Linked DNA regions of Kluyveromyces lactis. The protein of the gene in region 2 purifies or fractionates together with the protein of the main gene of each other region. This does not show direct contact. Links are inferred from orthologs where the notes say so. Each region holds a gene or a part of one and is shown on either strand. Other genes may lie near its edges. The genes, in order: SUI2 and GCD1.

Evidence for each region.
Region 1: the proteins of GCD1 (region 2) and SUI2 purify together in Saccharomyces cerevisiae (affinity purification with mass spectrometry; 10 studies listed by BioGRID, with this or other methods). This does not show direct contact. The link is inferred for Kluyveromyces lactis from reciprocal best matches to the Saccharomyces cerevisiae genes GCD1 and SUI2.

Annotation. Positions count from the first base shown.
Region 1 is NC_006037.1:1,020,197-1,023,264, reverse strand, and holds SUI2 (translation initiation factor eIF2 subunit alpha), read right to left. Parts: upstream 1,740-3,068; coding exon 831-1,739; downstream 1-830. Other genes in the region: MHO1 (Mho1p), read right to left, coding at 1-202; KLLA0_A11792g (uncharacterized protein), read right to left, coding at 2,170-3,068. UniProt on the Saccharomyces cerevisiae protein: eIF-2 functions in the early steps of protein synthesis by forming a ternary complex with GTP and initiator tRNA. This complex binds to a 40S ribosomal subunit, followed by mRNA binding to form a 43S pre-initiation complex.
Region 2 is NC_006039.1:830,559-834,082, forward strand, and holds GCD1 (translation initiation factor eIF2B subunit gamma), read right to left. Parts: upstream 2,064-3,524; coding exon 579-2,063; downstream 1-578. Other genes in the region: COX10 (protoheme IX farnesyltransferase), read left to right, coding at 1-326; proteasome regulatory particle base subunit RPT4, read left to right, coding at 2,503-3,524. UniProt on the Saccharomyces cerevisiae protein: Acts as a component of the translation initiation factor 2B (eIF2B) complex, which catalyzes the exchange of GDP for GTP on the eukaryotic initiation factor 2 (eIF2) complex gamma subunit.

The DNA.
Region 1 (3,068 bases), on a different chromosome or scaffold from region 2:
TCTTGACATTAGTAAAGTCTAGTTTGGAATATCCTAATGCCATCGTATCCCCACAGTACTTATAGCCAGCATGCGGAGAGATCAAATGCTTAGTCCCAGGAACCGCTTCGTCTCTTGACAATAGTTGTTGCAACGTAGTTATCAAAGCAGGAGAAGAAGAATACCATGATCCGGCATGAGTAGCTGGTCTTACTGAACTCATCTTATTGCGACTTATATCTGTCTATGTGTTTCCCTTTTTTTCTTATTATTTTCCTGGCCTAGCGATGAAATACCATACAGGATCCCAACTAGGCTGTGAATAAATGCAAATTACGTTGACGTTCGAATTAGTTTATTATACACGTTTAAATGAAATACCCGATGTGCTAATGTTACTACATAGAAGTTTCGTTTCGTTGTACTTTAAAGACTTTTCACTCTTTTTTCAAAATAAGGATTTATGGAGCTTCCCTTTATTATTATAAGAAGAAACTAGAAAAAAGGAAAATGGGAGTTTCCTAATGTAAAAATCCTTTAAAACGTCCAGTCGTAATCGAATGGAAAGGCTGACAGTAATTGGCAGATACCACCTGTTCAAATGCTAGAGTAGTTCTCTGCACAGTCAAGTGGAAACATAGGTTTATTACCTGAACATCTGTTAGAAAATGGCCTTTTGTTTTTGTTTCATCTTCATCAGTAAATATAATGCAATGTTAAGTGAAGTAAGAAATGGAGAGAGGACATGCAAAGACTTATAGGTATCGAAACGCTGTATACACGTATAACAACAGGAAGCAGTAGAAGTATATCTTTTTAATTCCTTTTTTTTTGGTTTCACTTTAAACCATCTATTCGTAATCGGAGTCTTCATCTTCGGAATCTGATCTACCTTCTAATTCCTTGGATTCTAATAGTGCTTGTAATTCAGCATCTTCAGTGGCGGTGACAGCCTTTGGAGCCATTGTGACATTACAGACACCATTGTACTTTAGAATGACTTCTTCGATCTTTGCGATAGCAGTTTCCAATAGTTGAACACCTTGATCTTTGTCCAAAGATTGGGTGGTGATGACGTACAATGGGGCAGCCACCAATTTGACTTTGATTTGCATTTGTTCAGTGGACAACTCTTCAGCAGATTTTAGGGCTTCTTTGATAGCATCAATACCCTCGTAACTGAAACATGAAACCTCGACATCTGCTCTGATCTTGACCGCTTGTGGGGTCAATCTTCTGGTGATTTGGCCCTTCAATTCTTGGAAAATTTCGTCGCTGATAGATTCAATACCATCCCAAACGTTAGGGTCCACAATGGACATCTTGTAGGCATCGTAAGCATGACCGTACTTTCGACTTAAAGGCCATGCATAAGCTTTGTACAAATCTTCCAATGATACTTGGTATTTCTCAGCACATTGTCTCAAGATGGAATGTACGGCCTTGGACTTTTGGTATCTTTCTTCACATTTGATGACATCTTCTGCAGAAACACGACGCTTAGACAAATCAATATAACCCTTCTCCTTATCCACTCTTAATACAACGACAACTTCATTCTTACCAACACGAATCAACTTTTGGATAGATCTAATACGTCTTCTTGACAATTCAGATAACAAAACCATACCTTCAATGTTGTCATATTCCAATAATCTAACGTAAGCACCCATTTCAGCGATTTGTTGGACGTTTACCATCACAACATCATCAACTTCAGGGAACTTGTTCTCGTAAAACCTACAATTGGAAGTGGACATCCTGCTCTGTATATCTAATGGCTCTGATGATAAATTCTTGTGTAATTTTTCAATTGGAAGATATACCACAAACTCAAAGAAAGTATACTCTGTTTGTAATCGTTATCTATCGCAAGATACAGATAAATTAAATTCCTCGGTATCAGAGACTGCTCGCGTAAGTTCGAAGCTTAATTGGAAACCTTTGTATACCGATATTGAAATTGCTTTGTTGCTTCAATATTGTATATGCTTTCCAATGATCAATCTTTTCAATTTTTTGATACTTCGCATCACAGTTTCGAAAAATTTTTAGATCTGCTCGTTAAGAGTGATGTACTACACGTGACCTAACTATTATAATTAAGTTTCATTACTTACTACTAATGGCCCTCAGGTATTAAGCTGCAGAGATACTAACTACCAGTAACCCATACTAGATGCGATCGTGCTAAGAAGCGCCAGAAGATTGATTTTTTAGCCTCGTTTTGATTGTTTTGATGTGTGCGAATCTGCGAGACCATGTAGAACAGTGTTCTGACGATACGGACTCGTGCCAAATTTGTGCGAATGTGTTTGCGACAGTACATAAATGCCTGACATACGCTGCGAGGCGCTGCCTATGCATGATTTTGAAGTGGGATGTAGAGAATATACCAGGAACTTCTTTTGCTCTGTAAATCTTCACCTTATAGAATTCACTCACAGAGTCTTTTTCATCTTTGCCGTTCCACATTGGTTTGATGACAAGGTTTATGAAATTGAATTGACTTTTGATTATGTCAAACGGGAACGAGTCCTGTTTTCGTTCATCGTAATATATGTTGATAAAGTTATTACCAACGTGTCTTTTTTTCATTGTTCGATCTGGATCTGCTTTGTCGTCGTTAGGCATTAGGGATACAGTATGGAACACGATTTGACATTTTTGATCATGCCAGATCAACGCGTACTCTCCATCTGTACCAGGATTCAAACCGCCGATGTAAAAAGTTTCATTTTGATCAAGTTTTATTATTGATCCGAGTTCGTTAACAAACCATTTGTATTGATGGGATCCATCCTCCATAGAGTGTGACAATATATCCTTTTCAGTTGTGTCATTGGGTCCCATGTATAGCAATCCAATCTTGTGAAATTCGACCACTGGGATAGTATCAACAAGCTGAATAGACTTTATCAAGTGGGGTTCTTCGATCCGAACCATGTCTTCGTACGTATCTTCTGCACTAAATTGTGCAAGAACATACCCTGGCGTGAACATATTTGCAGAGGCGGGTTTGGTGTTTTTACCAAATTGGAATAAATCAAAACTGTCAGGTTCCTTCTTTACTATGGGATCCACATTGA
Region 2 (3,524 bases):
ACTCACTTCTGATGTTCCCATTATGTTTTGGTCTTTCATACTTCAATGTCACCGACTGGTATTATCAATTGGATTCAGCATTTGTTAATGCTTGGATGTCACTATGGGCATTCAAGTTTTATTTCCAGCAAAAGCGTAATTACTCCAAGGAGATATACAATAACAAGACAGAATTCAACAAAGGGTTGGCAATGGCCAACGTTTATGCGAGGAGAACATTCTGGGTCAGTGTACTACATTTGCCGGCAGTATTGATTTTAGCAATTTTGCATAAAAAGGACCGTTGGGACTGGCTCTTTGAAGATAAGAAACAACTCTCAGCATAATTTCACACATTCATTCAACATCAGGAAAATCTTACTTGTGAATAGTAATTTATTATTATGTATTTAATTCAGAACGAAAATCATCAATTATTTTGTAAACATAAACTGTAAATATTCAGAAATCCGTTCAAGAAGTTTACACAAGCTCAGAAGATTAGTTATCAGATTTCTATAATTATTAAGGTACACATGGTACGGCTATTTGATCATGATATATGCAAAAATACTCTATTTATAATAATTTACCGAAGTTCAACGGTCGAAGAGTCCATCATCAACATAATCCTCATCGTCATAATATTCATCAGTGTAATCAGACTCGGATCCAGATGAATCTGAATCCAGTAAAGAGGATGCGTAATCTTCGTCATCTATGTAAATACTTGTCAAAGTTTCACCCTTGAGAGTGGATTTTTCATTGACAATATAAGAGCCCTCAACATAACAATTTGTAAGCTTTGATTTCTTGCCGATTTTTGCATTTCTACCGATGATGACATTTTCTAGCTGGGTTTCATCATCAATTTCAACATTATCAAGCACAACACACCCAACGATACGGCATCGCTTTCCTACTTTACAATTGTCACCGAGGACCGAACGTTTAATATTGGTTTTCTCCAAAATTGCACAATTGTTACCAACCATAGAATCTGCACCGATAGCAGAAGAACCATCAGTAGTGCGTTGTTGAATCGCCGTTTGTTTAATCTTCAAAACGTACCTATTGGATTCCATGTATGCACTCAAACTGTTTGATCTGATAAATAATCCGATTTCAGGTAACACGAAGATACCTATAGTTTCTCTGGGTTTCACATGCTGCCACGAACGCCTAGACAAATCCCTGAATAGCTTGCCTAGCGATTTATTACAGTTTATTGGATCTTTGATTAATTTCTTCTTTCCCTTCAAGAAAGACGTGTTCTGGAATGATGTGGCCAAAGAATCAACGGCTTCCGAATCAGAGTCTAATTCTCCAGCACCTTTCTCGGTTTCATCCTTCAATAGGTTTACTAACTCATGAGAGCAAAAGTAAATGAAGGAGTTCAGTAATTTTGTGGATACAGAGGAGTTCGGATATCTCCAAAGCATTTGGGATCTGATTTGTAAATATTTCGTTTTGTCCACATCGTCTTTGGAATAAACGTCTAGAAGAACGGGCTTACTAACAGACTCCAAATTCTCGGAGTATACAGTCAGGAATTGCTTTAAATGCTTCTTATCGATATTCTCAAACCCATTGTGATAATATACTGCCATAGCTAGATTCTCCGGATCTTTATTCAAATACTGATCTAAAAACACCTGTGGTGGAATGTCTGTGATGAAATCACAAGGTAACAACACGAAATCTCCAGTTATCTTATCTAGCAATTCATTCTTCAGACATTCTCCTGTATTCTCACATTTTGAGGGTATAATATTAATAGGAGATGGTTTTTTCAAATAGTGAGCATGGTTCGATCCAACGCTTTGGGATAACAGTCCAAAATAATGCCCTCTCACTTCACGGTATTTTTTCAAACTTTCCTCTAATTCGTCAGCATCGGATGCGTCAATAACTAGATTGACCTCTTTAAATTGGGCTTGCTCACACCAATCTAGTACGAACTCAATCATGGAGCGGTTTGCAACCGGCAATAGAGCTTTGGGAACACCAGTGTCTCCACGAACATTGGAAAACGGTGTTAGCTTCGCACCACGTCCACAGAATATAAAAGCTTGAAAATCCATTGTTCTGTACTATTCTGGGAATATTAAACTGTCTTATCTGGAGATCAACGCATCAATAAAACGTAGAACCCACTATATATCTTCAAACTGTACCGTGGCAGGTCATCATCCTACGTGATGCTTAGGTTAGTCAATACTCCATCTTATATTGAAAAGCTTTATTCCTGAAAATTTCAAAATCGTGCGTAATGATCTCCCTTTCTATTTAGTAGATTCCGAATGCTTTTGCCACCATTCAATCTAGTAACCCATAGTCCAAATGAAGAGAATAGGTAAGAAAGGCCAAATCCAACCAATTGAGTTGAGTCAATCCATTATAACAGTACTAGTCCAACCAGGAAGGAATACTGACAGAATAAAGGTACGGGATTTTTCTCCTTTCATATTGAGAAGCAGGAATAGGAAGATTAAGCTAGTCTGATCAGAATAAATACTAAAGATGTCTCAAGAACAGGATCCTTTACTAGCAGCAATGGAAGAAAACGATGGTGATGACACTAACGGAGCTGGTACCAACTCTAATTCGGGAGAAAATAACGCTGCCGCACCTGAAACGGTGGAGCCTGTGGATCCAGAACAGGCTGCAAAGGAAAAAGCGATGTTACATTTTAAGAAAAGACTTATGGAACACAGACGATACGACGATATGTTGAAGCAACGCAGAGAAACCATACGGGTACTAGAAGCAGAATATGAGAGAACAGAACAGGATATCAAGGCGTTACAGTCGATTGGCCAACTCATTGGGGAAGTTATGAAGGAACTTTCCGAGGAAAAATACATTGTAAAAGCGTCATCAGGTCCTCGTTATATTGTGGGTGTGAGGAACTCCGTTGATCGTTCCAAGCTAAAGAAGGGTGTCAGAGTCACACTTGATATTACTACATTAACTATTATGAGAATTTTACCTAGAGAAACTGACCCATTAGTTTATAATATGACCACTTTTGAACAAGGTGAAATCTCTTTTGATGGTATCGGTGGTCTTACGGAACAGATCAGAGAATTGAGAGAAGTCATTGAGCTTCCACTAAAGAACCCAGAAATTTTCGAGAGAGTGGGAATCAAACCACCTAAGGGTGTGTTACTATATGGTCCTCCTGGTACTGGTAAGACTTTATTGGCTAAGGCAGTTGCTGCAACTATCGGTGCCAACTTTATCTTCTCCCCAGCATCCGGTATTGTAGATAAATACATCGGTGAATCAGCACGTATCATTAGAGAAATGTTTGCATACGCCAAAGAACATGAACCTTGTATCATCTTTATGGACGAAATAGATGCTATCGGTGGACGTAGATTTAGCGAAGGTACCTCAGCAGATCGTGAAATTCAACGTACATTGATGGAACTATTAACTCAGATGGATGGTTTCGACAACTTAGGACAAACGAAAGTTATTATGGCTACGAATAGACCTGACACTTTAGATCCTGCTTTACTAAGACCTGGTAGATTGGA